2 linked regions of the Astyanax mexicanus genome follow. The protein of the gene in region 2 interacts with the protein of the main gene of each other region in a biochemical or structural test. Links are inferred from orthologs where the notes say so. Each region holds a gene or a part of one and is shown on either strand. Other genes may lie near its edges. The genes, in order: pros1 and f5.

Region 1 (9,532 bases), on a different chromosome or scaffold from region 2:
CAGTGATGTAAAGCATGCCAGCACAGAACAGTGGAGACGTGTTTTCTGGAGTGAGGAACCACGCTTTTCTGTTTGGGAATCCGACCAGTGCATCTGGGTACTTGTCTGATTACATTGTGCCAAGTGTAAAGTTTGGTAAAGGGGGAATTATGATGTGGGGTTGTTTTTTAGAAGTTGCGTTTGGTCTCTTCATTCCAGCCTTGCAGGAACAGTTTGGCCAAGTTCCTTTCTGTTCCAACATAACTGCACTCCAGTCCACAAAGCAAGGTCCATAAAGACACTGATGAACGAGTTTGATGTGAAAGACCTTGACTTCTTTGCTTGACCTGAACCCAATAAAACACCTTTGGGATAAATTAGAGCAAAAACTGTGAGCCTACAGGACCTGAGTTTGGGACCACCATGCTAGAAAATGAAGTGATGTATCAAAAACTGGAATAGCCCTGAGTAGTTGAATAAAGCATTAGATCATGGAAACAATAAAAATGTGGGAAAGTCATATTCCAGGACCACCCAGTGTTCCAAAGCACAAGATTCAGCACAAATAGGACTTGATCTTAAGAGAACAAAAACATTTTTTTTTACAAACCTGGTCCTGGAACCTTCCAGTCCTGCAATCACTTGTTCTACATTCTCCAAACACACCTGATTTAACTAATCAATTTATTATTAAAATTCCTGTCCGAATCAAAGTGGGTATGTTGTAGCATCTTCACTTGAAATTAAGTGAAGATAAGGCAACTGACAACTGTACTGTGCACTTTCAATGTTCTCAGTGTCTCGTTTTAAATGTCAGGGCCCTTGGAAATCCACCAATAAAGCGTGGAGCTACTATGAGCTTGTTAATGGCACAAAAAAGTGATTTCCCTGGATGGGAAATGCAATACCCCTATCACTAGCATTAAGGCACCATGTGGCCTCGGTTGCTCGGTCCTGCCGCTTTGCGCTCTATAACATCCGAAAAATTAGACCGTTCTTGACGCAACAGGCCACCCAACTCCTGGTGCAAGCGGTCGTCATCTCACGCCTCGACTTCTGCAATGCCCTGCTAACTGGCCTCCCGTCCTGTGTAGTAAAACCACTCCAGATGATCCAGAACGCAGCAGCACGTCTGGTCTTCAACCAGCCAAAACGGGCACATGTCACCCCGCTGCTCATTGAGCTCCATTGGCTACCAGTTGATGCTCGCATCAAATTCAAAGCTCTTACAATCGCCTACAAGGTGATGACAGAACAGGCTCCTTCCTACCTGCACTCGCTCCTGAAGGCTTACGCTACCTCCCGGCCGCTGCGCTCCTCCAGTGAACGTCGCCTCGCTTTGCCAAAAACTCACACAAAGCAATCCAGACTGTTCTCATACAGAGTTCCCCAATGGTGGAACAAACTACCTTCCACTACCAGATCAGGAGAATCTCTCGCTATTAGGGATGCAAATGATTAATCGACTTTAGATTAATTGTCGATCAAGAGGTTGCTCGAACAAAATGTATTACTCGCGATTAATCGCTAGAGGGCGCTACTGTAGTAACTTGAACAGAGCGTGAGAACGAGAGGTGAACACGACTCGCGAGAGACCAGGGTTGAAAACCAAATGAAGCGGGCGAAAATAAGTGCGGTGTGGGACCATTTCAACAATGTTAATTTAGGCAAAGAAGTCAAATGTTCTCTGTGTAATTCGGTATTGAAATACAACAGTTCCACTAGCTCACTCAGTTATCATTTGAACACCGTCACAGTTTCACTGAGAGCGCGAGCGTGTGATGAGAGAAGGGCGGAGGACATTACAGAGAGGATATGCAGCATGATCAAGAGAGATTTGATGCCAATCTAGACAGTTGACGGTACAGGGTTTCAGGATCTCTTTGCATTGAGGATTGTTGAGGATTTCCTAATTAATAGCCTGGATGCAGTTTCTTCATAATCTATAGGCTCAATAATAATCTGTTTGCCTCTCTATTTAATTTCTTCTATTCTTTTTTTTTTTTTAATATGTCTAATGGTACAAAAACGCAAAAACTGAGCCAGTCCTTAATTTATTTCTTTTTTTAAATTAAAGAATGTATTTTCTTATACCATAAAAAGTCTGATTTCTTTTCCTAATGCATAATTACTTGAGGAATATATAATATAATATAATACAATATAATTATCATAATATCATATATACTTTTTGAGCTCAGTGTTTTAACTATTTAGCTGGTATTTTTAAAGGCCCTATTGAAACACTAAAATTCAGGTAAAAACGCCGCTTATCAATTAATCGAAAGTCGATCGATAAGATCAATCAACTAATGATTAACGAATTAATCGATAATTTGCATCCCTACTCGCTATCTTTAAGAAACTCCTGAAGACAGAGCTCTTCAAAGAGCACTTAGACTCTTAAACACCTCTAACACACTAACTACTTCTATCCTCATTTCCTTCTTCCTCTCCTTCACTCCTCTATCCTATTATTCCCCTTTGTCCTCCTTTTATCCCTATCCAAAGATGTTTTACCTTTAAACTTATTTTACATTGTACTCAACTATTGTAAGCCGCTTTGGACAAAAGCGTCTGCCAAATGTAATGTAATGTAATGTAATGTAAAAGTGCTATATTCCAGAATGTTGGGGGTGAACAAAGGTGGGCTATTCGTCAAAAGTTTGTACTCGTTTTCATGTATCACTACACCACGAGTCTATTTCACATCGGATTTCTCCTTTAATAATAATATTAATTTATTTTTTGCAGTAGCATATTTATTTATTCATTTATTTATTTATTTTTACAAATTTCGATGTCTTTATAATATCGCCACAAATACTGCTATCCTATAAATACCCTGACATATTGTGATTAGTGTGGGACAAAATATTGATTTTGCGATATATTGTATTGTTTTTGTTTGTGATATATAATTGATATTTACTGTCCAATATCAGTGATTTTATTGAAACAAAGGTGCTCTAAACTTCCTAAGGCTACATACACATTACCAGGCAGAAATGACTCAAATCTGATTTTTTTTGCTCAATGTGGCTCAGATCTGATTTTTTTTAGTTATTTTGTGCTGTTAGCCAATCAGAGGCGATATGTTTGCATGCATGAATATTCATGAGCAAGAATCCTGTCTTCCTTCAGAGACCAAAGATAAAATAGAAATACCAGAGCACTTTAGATCACAAAAACAGCTCACATGGCATTCATTCATACTAGATAGCACAACTAGACATTTTAAAATGAATGAAAAACGATGGAGTGGGACCTTTAAGTATCGTAGAGAATCGTTTTTTTGCGATATTAGGAGTATCGCGGTACCTGCAGACCGTGCTGGAGGCTAGAACAGCAGATCAGAGGGTAAAATGAGGGCTGAATCAGTTTTTAAAGAACTGAATGGAGCTGAAGTGCAGCTCGCCCGCAGGTTTAACCGGATTAAGAGCGGACACTGAGTGCGCCAGCGGTTTTTACGTAGCTCGGGGGATTTATCTCACCACGTGCTGGAGTCCACTGAGCGAAAACACGTCCCTGCAGGGAGTTTGTACCTGTTTAACACGCTGTTAGTCTAAAGCGCGCGCTCTCACTGATCGATCAGATTCATCGATCTGCTACTCTAAACACGGCGCTGCCAAATAGTTTAATAGTGACGTAGTTCAGGATCTAACTAACCATAACTGTGATTCAGATTTAAGCCCACAGCCCTCAGTAAACTCAGTAATCGGGTGTGTGGGACCGAGTGAGCAGCTCCCGCGCCCGCTATCCGCTGTCTGAGTGAGAGCAGCGTAAAGTCCGGGTAAATAAATAAAGCCTGGCGGTAATGAATACTTACAGCGGTGGGCATCGCACACAGTCCAGACCAGCAGGAGGCTGGCCAGCGCCGCCGCTCTCTCCCCCCTCATGTTCAGGCCTGAACCGCGGGCTCGGAGGGGCTTATGTCGCTGCTGGCTGAGTTTCTGGCCGGTGGGAGAACTTTTTATTCCCCTCACAGGAGTTTTTTTTCGCTGCTTCAGCGAGGAGGTGCTGGGAGAGCGCCAACAGGCCAACAACCCGAGCGGCCAGAGAGGGCGCTGTTCCCCCGCCGCGCTCTGCTCTCCTCACCGCCTCACAGCAACCCTGCAGTCAGCCAGGTAAACCTGCACACCAACGACCCTCAGCTTAGCTCTGTTTACCTGTAACAAAACTCTGTTTACCTGTACCAACCCTCTCTATACCTCGGTTTACCTGGAACTGCCCCTGTTCAGCTCTGTTTACCTGTAACAACCCACTCTATACCTCTGTTTACCTGGAACAACCCTCTGTTTACGTGTCCCAATCCTCTCTATTCCCTTTGTTTACCTGTAACAACCTTCTGTTCACCTGTATCAATCCTCTCTATACCTCTGTTTACCTGTAACAACCCTCTCTATACCTCTGTTTACCTGTAACAGCCCTCTCTATACCTCTGTTTACCTGTAACTGCCCCTGTTCAGCTCTGTTTACCTGTAATAAACCTCTGTTCACCTGTATCAATCCTCTCTATTCCCTTTGTTTACCTGTAACCACCCTCTGTTTACCTGTATCAATCCTCTCTATACTTCTGTTTATCTGTAACAGCTTTCTCTATACCCGTTTACCTGTAACCACCCTCTGTTTACCTGTAACAACCCTCTCTATACCTCTGTTTACCTGTAACAGCCCTCTCTATACCTCTGTTTACCTGTAACTGCCCCTGTTCAGCTCTGTTTACCTGTAATAAACCTCTGTTCACCTGTATCAATCCTCTCTATTCCCTTTGTTTACCTGTAACCACCCTCTGTTTACCTGTATCAATCCTCTCTATACTTCTGTTTACCTGTAACAGCTTTCTCTATACCCGTTTACCTGTAACCACCCTCTGTTTACCTGTAACAACCCTCTCTATACCTCTGTTTACCTGTAACATCCCGCTCTATACATCTGTTTACCTGTAACAACCCTCTCTATACCTCTGTTTACCTGTAACATCCCGCTCTATACCTCTGTTTACCTTTAACAACCCTCTCTATACCTCTGTTTACCTGAACCTGCCCATGTTCACCTCTGTTTACCTGTAACAACCCTCTCTATACCTCTGTTTACCTGGAACTGTCCCTGTTCACCTCTGTTTACCTGTATCAATCCTCTCTATACCCCTGTTTACCTGTAACCACCCTCTGTTTACCTGTAACAGCTTTCTCTATACCCGTTTACCTGTAACCACCCTCTGTTTACGTGTAACAACCCTCTCTATACCTCTGTTTATCTGTGACATCCCGCTCTATACCTCTGTTTACCTGTAACAACCCTCTGTTCACCTGTAACAACTCTCTCTATACCTCTGTTTACCTGTAACAACCCTCTCTATACCTCTGTTTACCTGAACCTGCCCATGTTCACCTCTGTTTACCTGTAACAACCCTCTCTATACCTCTATTTACCTGGAACTGCCCCTGTTCACCTCTGTTTACCTGTAACAACCCTCTGTTTACCTGTAACTGCCTTCTGTTTACCTGTAACTGCCTTCTATTATACCTTACCTTATATTTGTTCTTTCATTATTCAAGTCTTAAATTGTTAATTAATATTAATTATGATGTCCTTTAAGCTTGCATATTTTCTCTGTTTATCTATGGTAAATAAATATTGTTTTTAATTTTCATTAGATTCTTGTCTGTTGTAAATACTCAAGTACATTACAATGATGGCAATTTTAATGTCCAATAATATTTTCTCTGTAAATATTTTAGTGTATAACTAAGAATTTATTAGACTATTTTTAAGCATAGACATTCTAGCAGTGATTTAAATCACCTGCATAAAAATTTTGAAATGTGTTTTGTTTTTTTTTTTCAAAAAGATTTGAACCTAAGAAATGACCAGTAAGCATAAGTACACAACATTAACTGAGGGCAGAAATTAATAACAAATTTACTGTAATTTGGTGCACAATCATTGGTTTGTTGTTAAATTTTCTTCCCTTGTTTCTCCCATTTACTCCACAGCCATGTTGACCTACACTCATCTGTTGACTTTCATCTGCTCAACAGCCACCAAATATTAATTCTGTTGTTTTTCATCCACACATTTAGTTTCGTAAATAACTAGTTTAAAAATTTAAAATATATATATATACATTTTATAAACAATTGTCAAGCATTTGTCAAGCATTCAAGCAATTCCTGTTGAAAAGATGATAAACAGTCAGATGTGTCTAAATATAATAAAAACACAGACACCATTTTGTTGCTATTGTCTTCATTTGGACAAAAAACAAAACAAAAAGAAATTTTGCATTCATGTTTTCATAACGCGTTCCACATTTGACCTGTACACATCACAGACTTGTAATAATACTCTTTATATACTTATATAAAATACACTGTTCTCCCTTTTTAAGGTTTCACTTTGAAGAAAATTATTGATTTGTAGCTGGACTATAGGATTTATCAATTATAATTTGTAACAGATCAGATATTGGTAAAATAAATGATCATAAAATTATTGCATCGTTTATACTGTGCGTCTGAAGAGCGTACAGTGCTTTTTCGTAATCAAATAACTTCTTCCACAAAATGCTATACTGTGATATAAAAATAAATACTGAACTTTTTGAAGTGGGTAGCAGAAGGCTGTCTGGCTTCTACTGAAACAACATATTCACACTAAAACATGCAGTACTGAGCGAATTATAGTGAGGCATGTGGGTCATTAATATAGTTCAGAACCTCAAACACGGAAGAACGACACTCATGATGTCACAAACAGAAATGAAATGCTGGGAGATCACTGGTGAAAATGGAAAACCTGGAAACAGAATCATGGAACTTTGAGAATTCTTCAAAAGAGAAACTGGAAATGTTGCTTCTCCGATTCCATTCCATTAACATACACTCCTTTATACATACATGCTCGCTTGCTTCAATCCGCAATTATTCATACACACACACACACACAGGTTCTGAAACCTGTATCTCAAAGGGCAAGAGTTCTCAGTACAAGACACAGATAGAAAATGCATTAATTACAGTACATAAAATTCAACAAAAGTACAAAACACACAAAAAATGTCTGGCATCGATATAACTGGCAGTCTGTTCTTAAAAGGGCAGCTGTTGCACGCCAGGTAGGTTCTCTTAGATGATTCAGATTTAAGAAAGGAGCACTACAGTGATTGGCTTGGAATTGGTGACAAAATATTAGTACTGAGTTGATTGTTGCCGTGTCTTTGACATTTGACACTGTGCAAAAGCTAGAGACCAGCGTTCACGTTTTATTTCATCTCCAATATAGGCCGCACAACTTAGAACCAATATGTGTGGTCTGTGGGCTTCAGTGATGGGCCCGACATATATACAGCTCTAACAAAATAAAAGACCACTAGGGAATATAATCAAGAGGAAGATGGATGATCACAAGCCATCAAACCAAACTGAACTGCTTTAATATTTGTTGTCCAAAGTTATCCAAAAGCAGTGTGTAAGACTGCTGGAGGAAAACATGACAAGATTAATGAAAACTGTGATTAAAAACCAGGATTATTCCATCAAATATTGCTTTCTGAACTCTTAAAACTTTATGAATATAAACTTGTTTTCTTTGCATTATTTGAGGTCTGAAAGCTCTGCATCTTTTTTGTTATTTCAACCATTTCTCATTTTCTGCACATTGGGCCTAGATGGGACCTACTGTACCAGTCAGAATTTGTTGTACATTTGTGCAACTTTATAGGCACCTTTAGAGTAATAAAGTCAAAGTTGGTTTTGGTATTGGTACTCAGTATCGTTAAATACTTGAAAATTTGTAATCTATATCGGAATATTGGAAGGGGAAAAGTGGTATCGGTCTATCCTTCAATTAATAGTAGTAAATATAAAAAATTCTAATGTTATATGTAGTTGAGGCTTCTGTGTGATTTTCTGTTAAATGTTTATATTTTCTACTTTTGTTCTGCCTGTAAACCGATCATTTATTAATTAATCAATAACAAACTTGGCTACTAAGGAAATAAATGAAAGCTGGTCTATAACATCTGCACAGTGCTATGTACTGTAACTTTAACTGTAACTGTGCCTACGCTGTAGCTAATTGGGTTTAACTGACAGGTTTACATACCAAAAAGTGTAAAGGAATGTTCACAAAAGCAGGAAACAATACTGCAACACGTCTAAACAAGGGCAAGGTGCAGGCAAAAATCAACAAAGAAACACTTTAGATACCAAAAAATGGCAACAAAAGAAAGCTTCCATAACGACAGTCGACCTAAGACAGTATTATACCTTGATATCTTGGACACTGTCATTATAAGAATAAGAAAAAAAGATTACAGTTAACATCTGATTCAGATAGGTCCTCTGAAGCTGAAACAAATCCAATCCACCGTCCCAATTCAGAACAATTAACCTAGATAGCACAAATTTAGGTCTGATTCTGGACCAAAAGCTTGGCTCACATCCGGGCTGAATGACGGATTTGCCAACATTAGCCGCATGTGCCAGCACCCTGGTTCTAGAGTGTAACATGGCGATTAGCCTGCACTGCTTTTACCAAAACCCCAGTTGCTGAGTATATACCACATTTGGCCCAATTCCGCATGGCTGATGCCGAATCTCAGGCAATGCTGCCATACATTGGCCATACTTGTGTGTGATTCTTAATGCTATCTGGGAAACCTCTGCTCATTTGATTGACAACATTTTTTGTTGTACTTTGGCTATACTTACATTGCCAGCACTTAAATGCAGCTCAATGAAAATTAAAGAAAGTTTACCCATTACCCGGATTCCCATAGCTACTGTCAGCAGGCTCTTAATTTTCTGAACTGGTTTGTGATTGGTTGTGAGGCTGTTATTACAGGCATGCACCAACAAGACTAAAAAATTCACTGACTAAAAAAAAACAAACATCAGAAAATATTCTCAGACCTATAGTTTGGTCCTGAAGTTTGAGAACAAATAGAATAAAATAATCAATACCTAAAACAAAGTCTCTCATTGGTGGATCCATATTTTTCCTTCTTATTTTTTTTTTCATACAAAAAAAACTCGTATTACAATGTTTAAAACATGCCATGAGGCAGAGCTACATCGTCGACGGGGCAGGTGTGACGATTAAAGTGCATATGGCCGCTGACACACAGTTCAGTGGAAAGCTGTTGATTGGGTTTGTACATCATACAAAAAGGTATAGATAGCTTCATGTGAGCTTCACTCTTCGCTGCTTCATCTTCTTTACTGCTTTCTCCTCTTCCTTCTTTAGTCACAGCTCGGTGTTGCTGTGTCGTACGCTCACTGCCGTGGTGTTCGGTGCAGAGAGAAGGGCACGGTGCTGATTGGGCAGTTGGGTCAGATTGAGTAGGTGGAGCTCTCTGATTGTTGGCGAATGTAGCACTGGAAGCTCTTGTCACCGATTGGATGCTCCCTGTATTAATAAAAAACAAACAAACAAACAAACTACAGATTAGTTTGTTGCCCAATAGCAGCACACTCTGAACACCTATAGAGGACGAAAAATGACATAAGTATAAATAAATGCACATATACAGCTCTAAAAAAAAAAA
Region 2 (9,245 bases):
AAGTTAAAGTAAACTAAGTTGGTGAATAAAACTCTCTCTTAATATATTATTTTAGTCTTCAGTGGTTAACTTACCTGGAACAGAGCCATTTGTGAAGCCATTGATGGTGTATTTCACATGCTCTTTAGTTGGAGGGCCTCCTTTGCTGTACCAGCTTTTGTTCTCGTCGAACACCCCAAAGAGCAGCACCAGTTCCTGTTGAAAATGGACCTGATCTCCAGAGTCACTGAGGCTGCCTGCAGAGCAAAAAAACACATACCACGCTGACCTTCAGCATAAACAGTCTTATCTCTGATACCAGGTCCTCTGATCTCCGAAAGAGTAACAGAGCACAGGGCCGATGATGCAATGCACACACATTGAAAGTAATACCCAATAATGAGGATCACGGACGCTTAAAAAATAAACCTTTAAGTGACTTACCTTTCTTACAGACCAGCATCATCCCAATCAGGCCTGTGTTGTAGTCTCTGACAATGTCTTGGTGGGAGATGTACATGTAGGTGAGACAGGGAGGGTCTGTAGCTTTCGGGACCACATCAGGACTCACCTCCCAGGAGTACGTGTGCTCATTGCCAGGACTGATGACATCGTCCTCTTTTTCAAAGTCGGAGGTGTTGTCAAAGTATAAAGAGCCTAAAAGATTGAGGATTTAAATTGAGAAATATGAATGTTTTGCGAAATGTTTAGTATTATTCATCTGAGGAGAGAGGAAGAGAGTTATATCATATAACGGGAAATAGAAGCAGATATGTGTTGAGTAAACGAATGTTCTTTTTTTTTTTGCTGTCGATTTGGACTTGGGTACAACCTGTGGTTAATATGTATGAAAAAGGTAAATAAAGACCTGTTTGTGCTGGATGTTCAGTAAATCACAGTAGTTATTCAACTTGTTGCTGAAAAAATATTCTTAAAATAACGAGTAACAATGTAACAAACATTTAATGTTCTTAAAATTTTAATGGTCTTATAAATTCTGTAGTCCTAGGTATTTAACTGGTTATAAGTACAGTCTTTAGTAACTAGGCTAAAGTAAGCACTTGAAATGCTCTTATTAAGTCGTATTAGATCAGTCTAGATCAGGGGTCACCAACCTTTTTGAACCTGAGAGCTACTTCTTGGGTACCAATTAATGCGAAGGGCTACCAGTTTGATACACACTCGTGAAATTACAAATTTTCTCAATTTACCTTTAATTATATGTTATTATTAATAATTAATGACATTCATCTATGTGAAGACACAGATATCAATAGGCAACACTATTATTATAAATCTCTGCAAGTGTTTACATTTTATATTATATTTTAATATAATATTACATATTATATTACATTATATTGTATAATAATATATAAACTATAGGCTATCTCTAAGCTAATATTAATGTAATATAATCTAAAATTACATCAATGCAACTGTGATTTAAAAAAAAAAAGAATAGCAACAAAAATGCTATTTTTAGACCAGGCCTGCGGGCTACTCATAAGGTCCTTGCGGGCTACCTGGTGCCCGCGGGCACCATGTTGGTGACCCCTGGTCTAGATATTGCTTAATAATATACAGTAGTAACATGTAGCCTGTTAATGACTTGTTAATAATTACTGGCTGGTTAAAGCCTTAATGAGTGTATAATAAGGACAAAATAAATAAATGCAAATTTTATGCAAATAAATAGTGTATAAAATAAGTTTTAGGCTGTTCCTACTCCTTTACTATCCTGTTACACAATTTCACCAACACTTTGCGGCTGAAAAATATCATCTGCTTCCTGTGATTTTGCCATCACATATTTTTGAATTGCTTTTAATGCTGTCCATTATTCAAAAGATCTACACGCTTGGAGGAGATCACTAAATGACAGTCAGTCAATGTCTGAATTGGATAGCACTATTAAGTGTTAAGTAATAGTGAGAGAGAGAGAGGTGGTGCCATCCTATGCACCCAGAGAAAGAGAAGCAAATTGTGATGGCTATTGAATTACTGGTAGGTAAACTCACAATTTTACAGTGAAGGTCAATGCTTAACCAGCTAGAAACATAGGATTATGTTTATATATTATAATGTTTGTAAAACACAGCATAGTAAGTTATTATAACATCAGTTTACTGACCCTCTGACTGTTTTCCATAAGCAATGCCATGCGGATGGATGCTACATGGATGATCGGCCATGTTTCTGAAAGTGACAGTGATGACGTCATCTTCTTCACCCCTCAGCGTGGGTCCCAGCAGCCCTTAAGATATACATAATTATTCATTATCCATAAGTCAGTAAGTCTGTGAATGTATTGGACCTAAAGTAATGTTGACATTCACTTTGACATTGACGTGAGTGTATTTTTTTGTAAGTGTTAGGAAGACACAGTGATGTCATGTTAAAAAGAGAATCAGTCAGACTTGAATCAGTGTCTTAAATACCTGACCACGAAGGATGAGTCTTGGCCTGTTTGAAATGTTGATCGTACTCCCTGTACACTGTCTTTCTATATATGGGACCACCCCTGTAAAGCCATGAAAATAACCACAACGATTTACAGGGAACAGAAGGAAATGCTTTAAAAGTCTTTATACACATATAAAATCACTTAAAAAATATAAAGTTATTTATGTGTGCAGTACATGATCACTTGTTCAAAATGAATGACATTAGAATAAAAAAAAATAATGATAATAATAACATAATACAATAATAAACAATGTAGTGCAATTGTGTATAATGGAAATGTATTAAAGGGCAAATCAGGCGAGCTTCTGGTGAAACTGACAATTCTACACAGTGTCTAAAGTTTAAAGAAGCTGTCAACTGTGTTTTTTAACATATCAGTAGACATACATTTACTGGACATACATTCTGACTGCTGTGTTTATGTTGTTCATTTGTATTTAAATTGTGTCATTTTAAAAATAAAGTATAGATTTTAAGTATGAATTTACCTCTAACAATATTGGATAGTTAATGAATGAATCATTATATAGTATGAAAATGTCTTCTGTCTATAAATCTCACTGCAAACAACTTATTCAACTGCAAAACAACTCTTGTCCAATCAAAATGCCATTTATTAATGCATTTAGGAGCCAAAGCCTTGAAATAATCTTAAATTATATGACGATATTGAAAGAAAAAAACACTGCTGAGATTAGTTCCTAAGATGTTTAAACAGCACTATACTTATTATAGTATATATTTTTAAAAACACAAAAGCACAAAAGAAACACTACTCTACAATCCATTCTACAGATGACATGTTTAAAAATCCATAAACTGACTCTAAATTGAATAAATTACTTTTTTTTAAATAAATCAGTATTTGCTGAATAAAGAGAATTCCGATTTGACAGCTTTTATACAAATACAACTCAACAAAAACAGCTAAAATATTAAAATTTTAATTCATCATCATTATTTAACATGAAACACAAAATTAAATAACAGGAGAAAAAGCACAATTAAACTAAATCAATTTGTGATATTATTAAAAAAAAATGCAGATAAATCCATACCTCTGATTTCCATTAGCATTGTAATCCCAGTCAATATTCACAGCAGCAATATAGTATTTCCTCTCCACTGCTGAAACACAGCCGGTCAGAAACGCCAGAAGGGCCAAAGCACAGGGAGCCTCTGGCCTGGAGTAGAGCCTCATGTCTCAGCATGGAAGCCCCAGGTAAGACCAGTCTGTTCTAAAGAGCAGAAGCTTCTGATCCCTCAGTAAAGACTGCAGATAGCTTTATCTCTCCCTCCCTCTTTTTTGTCTTTCCTGTCTCATCTTCCACAGCCAGACACACACACCCACCTACACACAGACACACACAGACACACAGAGTTTCAACATTTTGTCCCGGGCAACGAACTCTCTACTCTGCTCTTTCATCACCAATCAAAAACCACATGTTTATTTTTAGTCATCAGTAGCAGCTTATAAAAAAATACTATTGTAAAAAGAACACTATGAAATGTACAGTACAGTAGCTAGCTAGTAAGTTGCTCTATAACAGTTTACACTTTACATTTAATCACAGTACCTAATAAACCTGCTTTATTTTGATCACAGCTAATATTAGACTAATTTAAAAGGCATTACTGCATTCAATTAAAGATTGTAAAATTACAAATGGTAAAATAATTATATTGTAAAAAGACACAAAGACAAGTACATTTGTGTAAACGTACGGTATTCTTTTTAAAATGTTTATTAAGTACATATAGGTTATGTACCTTAAACATTTTAGCATGCAGATAGCATTTTATAAGCTGTATAGAGTAAAACAGATGATTAACATGGCTAAATGAAGTTAGCTTAGCTAACATAGGTATTTGGCTAGTTAGCTAACCCAGCTAACACCACCTAGCTAGGTTAGCTAACTACCTATGTTAGCTAAGCTAACTTTATTAGCCGCTAGTTAGCGATATACAGCTATGGAAAAAAATAAGAGACCAGTTCAGTTTCTAAATCAGTTTCTCTGATTTTGCTATTTAAAGATATATGTTTGAGTAAAATGAACATTGTTGTTTTCATCTATAAACTACGGACAACATTTCTCCCAAATTCCAAATAAAAATATGGTCATTTACAACATTTAGAGCGTTTAGCAGAGAAAATAAGAAATAGCTGAAAAAACAACAAAAAAAAAAAAATGCAGAGCTTTCAGACCTCAAATAATGCAAAGAAACAAGTTCATATTTATAGAGTTTTAAGAAGAGCTAAAGAGTTCAGAAAGCATTATTTGGTGGAATAACCCTGGTTTTTAATCACAGTTTTCATGCATCTTGGCATGTTTTCCTTCATCAGTCTTACACGCTGCTTTTGGATAACGTTATGCCACAGTGAATAATGAAGAAGTCAATGAGTGAACCCTTCTGAATGCAGCTCAGGAGTAATTTGTTAAGGTGACACTGTAGCTTTTGGGGACGTGTCAGTAGTCAGGTACCAGCAGTATTTGTGCTCACTGCCTGGAAGAATGACGTCATTCACTTTTTCAGAGATGGAGGACTAAAAGATTAAAGAGTAGCATGTTCTAAATGTTAATGTATCTCCTGTTTACTGTTTAGACATTTTTAGCATGTGATAATAATTGGAGGTAACAGCAATAAATTCTCCATTAGATATCACCAGAGGATATCTACAATTGTTTTTTTTCACTTTCATTTTGTAGTGAGAGCCGGTGGTTAATATGTAAAAAAAAAAAAAACACGCCCACTTGTGCTGACAATTTGTAAACGCAGCTGAACAAATAGGACAGAAAGATTGTACATCATGTTCACACAAAAAAAGAAAAGAAACTGTATTTGTGGTTAAAGCAGATAGGACAGATCTGTCATGTTATCACCTCAGAAGGACCATGTTGATGTTTAATGCTTGTTTTCCTTTCTTAATATTAGTAGAATTTTTGTAGATGGTCCCATATAAATCATTTAGAAAATGGTTTTATATCGTATCATTATGAGCCAAAGAAATCTTTACTTAGACTATATCTAAGAATTTATAGTGATATTATTTTCTGATAATTTCACATTGCTCAATTAATGTATCCCTTTGTTTCTATAGAATTTGCCCTAAAATGTAAAACTAGGAATTTCCTCAAATCTAGTTTTTGTTACTAACAGAAATAATAGCAAATTGTCTATTCTTGTATTTTTTCTTGTTACATGTTTGGATACTTTTTCAAATCTGTAAAACAAGCTGATGACTGTGGCATTAAAATATGTACTTATATAATACAATATTACTGTATATTGTATTATATTATTTAACATATGTAGTGTAGTATTATGATGTTCATGACATGATGCATTACATTAACTGACAAATGATTTTTTCTTTTTTAAGTTAAAGTCAATAAACACTGACCAAAACATGGGTAAAGTTACTGGACTGTCATCAATGTAACTTAGAAATAAGTGACATATCAAATTGGACATTATACAGATGTAGTAGCTCCACACGGGTATGACACTAAAATGCTGTGACCAACCAGGGACTGCAAAATAAATACAATAAATAATAATAATTTTTATTGTTAAATAATAAATAATAATAAATAATAAAGAAATGCTGGCAGTGAGATGAGACAACACTGTCTAAATAAAGTGTGGGTGAGTGATTATAAAAGGATGAAGACACTTTGTAACTTAGTAACTAAAACACTGCTGTCAGAGGCTCTGACTGTCTTACTCGTATAAAATATCTTGCAAAATCTGTTAACTGTCAAAAAATTCCAAGAAGAACCTCATACTGTCTTACCGTCAGCAGGAACACATTTCTGATCAGTGATGTTTTTACTGGCATGGTTACAGCGATATGCATCACAAACCTTGCATGACAGAAAAATTTAATTAGTTGGAATTTCGTCATTGTCTGATGGAAAATTCCCCTAAGGTACTTTGCACATCTGTTAGGATTTAGAAGTGGAAGGTCACTGACATGCCCAGAAGTGGTGGAGAAAGTGGTGGAGCTCTGGTAATAAAATGCTTCCGCAATAAAGTCACATAAACAAAGGAAAACCTGAAATTTAAGCATAAGCAACTATAACTCAAAACAAATGCATTTTTAGCAGTATTCACATTATTTCAGTTAATTTATACAGTAGTAAACTTATTTTAGACAAATATAGAGCTGAGCCAAATGATCTGACACTGTTTATAGCTATAATTAGACATAATGACATTATGATATGCTTTTCTGAACACATTATGGATGTCAAGAATAAAGAGTAGCACTTGTACTTTTATCCATATCTTGAATATCTCTAGTATAATTATGTATAATTAATATATAAAAATAATATGTATTATTAAAATATAATTATGTCACATTTATGTCATATCACCCAACATTGCTTAACAGTTTACCACTGGAAGGGTCAAATAAATGGATGGAATAGGTGCAACAGTCTGTTAAGGCTTCTACAGCCTTACAGGAAAAGCTCTATTGTATCCCCTGCTGGTGCTGCTATAAATAACAGCAACTCTTACATAGACTTAGAATATGAATAACAAGGATATTAAACATGTAGACTCCAAAAAGAAATTATAAACAGGGTTTAGTTTTTAAGACTAAACACTGTCAGTGAAGATTCCCCAGCGGAAATCCTTTCAGCTTTGTCTAGACTATAATTTGTGTTCAGGAAACAGACTCAGAGACAAGCAGACTAACATTCACAGCTATTCAGCTATATTTTCTGATAAAACTAATGAGAATCTTAACCCTTGTGGTTTATGCTTCACTGTCTTCTCTAGCGTCCTTTACTGTCTTCTCTCTACCAATGATTTAGAACTACTAATTCAGCACCGTCACTAAAGTATCTCCACTTTTTCATTACTGTGCTCTTATTACTGTTTAGGCTAAATATTGTTAGTATTATTGGATGTGATTGAAACCTGAATTAATTGGTTTGGAAGGGTGAGCGAATACTTTTGGCAATATAGTGTAACTCAACTGAAGCTAAAAATGCTTCTAACTTATTTATTTCATTGATTTATTTTGTGATTTGTTGACTGCATGTTTTGTATTTTCAAATAAAATGTAATATTATAATATATCTTAAAATACAGTTTTTATTTTTATTTTAAATTACAGTATATTTTCCCTATATAATTTCCCACAGTCACTTATATGTGGAGAAATAAGTTATATAAAATAATATATATATTTTTTTATCTACATAAAATATAGGAATTAATAGAATATATCCTGTAAAAGTATTGAGATTATTTGTATGATTTATTTTTAATATATAAACATTATTTATACAACACAAACGTATATAAATATATAAATACCCCAATATATAAATTTTCCACATTTACTTATATGTGGGGAAATAAATTAAATAAATAATATTTTTATCAATATAAAATAAAGGCATTAGTAAAGTATATTCTGCAGTAGTTTTTAGATAAGTTTTATGATTTATTTTAAAAATATAAACATTATTTTTTACAACACAAACTTATATAAATATACAAATAATATTTACCACGGTCACTTATATGTCAAGAAATAAAAAAAAAATCTAAAATTAAATAAATAATATTTTTTATTTTTACGTGAATATTTTTCACGTAACTTATAGGAATTAGTAAGATATAACTTAGAGTAGTATTTAGATTATTTGTATGATTTTTTAATAAATATAAACATTTAAAAAATGTATACGAAACAAAAATATCTGTATTTTATTTACAGCTGATCTGAAGGGGGACTTTACTTGTGAAAGTGCGGGGCGATGACGCCGGATTCACCGTGCGCGTGCGCAGTAGCGTCGGCGTGAAATTGGGAAGAGTGGAGAGCAGCTGATTGACAGGTAAAGGTAGAAACAAAACCATAAACACTGTTATTTAGCTAATTTACTGAAGGATTTATCTGTGTTTTGTTTTATTTGTACTCAGTGTCAGTGTTAGTGTTAGTGAGGGTGTGTGCTGGGCTCCTCTGCAGTCTGCGTGTCCAGCCTAATCAATACTAACACACACACACACACACACAGACTAGCAGCTGTTTATATTAACATTACTGCAGTATCTATACTTATCGTGTTATCTGGTTAAAAAATAGAAATCAGAAATATATACATATATACATACGTCATTTAGCTAAATTCACTTTTCTATGTTCAAGGCAAGAGGCTTTTACTGTCATTCCAAATAAGTACAAGTACACAGTGCAATGAAATTAGCCACGTTCCTCCAGAACCACACAGTGCAACATGGAAGATACAGTACAGTATAGACAAAATAAAGGTGCAACACATTGTTCAACATATATCTAGATGTTACTGTATGTTACAGTACGTTATATTTATATGTTACAGTATGATAGTTACATATCTCAGCACCTTATCCTCACCACACACTTTTAGAGTGTGTCCTGTCTGTTAAACTGTCTCATGTCTGCTGAAATTATAGTATTTATTATAGTGTTCTAGCTCTATGTTGCACAGTTTGTTGCACGTTTGCAAAATGTTCTTAATTTTGAATGGATGTTTGGGTAAAATAAGAGTTTATTCTGTTTAATTGGAACATTTCTATTGGTCTATTCGCCCAGAATTATTAGACAGAGTACCAGGTTCAAAGAATGTAGAACATTTAAAACAGACAAAATTAAATATATGTTTTTGATTGGACAGCAGCTAATTACACTGAATGTATAGTGTACAATTTTTACCCTTTAGTAACCCTACACAGATTAGTAATATAGAAACAGTGTGCAGTGCAGTTTCTTTTGTGTAATATATGCCACTTTC

What was found.
Region 1: the proteins of f5 (region 2) and pros1 form a complex in vitro, tested with the Homo sapiens proteins (2 studies listed by BioGRID). The link is inferred for Astyanax mexicanus from reciprocal best matches to the Homo sapiens genes F5 and PROS1.

The regions. Positions count from the first base shown.
Region 1 is NC_064428.1:18,919,956-18,929,487, reverse strand, and holds the start of pros1 (vitamin K-dependent protein S), read right to left. Parts: upstream 3,936-9,532; 5' UTR 3,879-3,935; coding exon 3,809-3,878; intron 1-3,808. Other genes in the region: rasa3 (ras GTPase-activating protein 3), read right to left, coding at 9,318-9,393. UniProt on the Homo sapiens protein: Anticoagulant plasma protein; it is a cofactor to activated protein C in the degradation of coagulation factors Va and VIIIa. It helps to prevent coagulation and stimulating fibrinolysis.
Region 2 is NC_064418.1:5,184,025-5,193,269, forward strand, and holds the start of f5 (coagulation factor V), read right to left. Parts: upstream 3,712-9,245; 5' UTR 3,650-3,711; coding exon 3,507-3,649; intron 2,504-3,506; coding exon 2,421-2,503; intron 2,237-2,420; coding exon 2,114-2,236; intron 637-2,113; coding exon 424-636; intron 237-423; coding exon 75-236; intron 1-74. UniProt on the Homo sapiens protein: Central regulator of hemostasis. It serves as a critical cofactor for the prothrombinase activity of factor Xa that results in the activation of prothrombin to thrombin.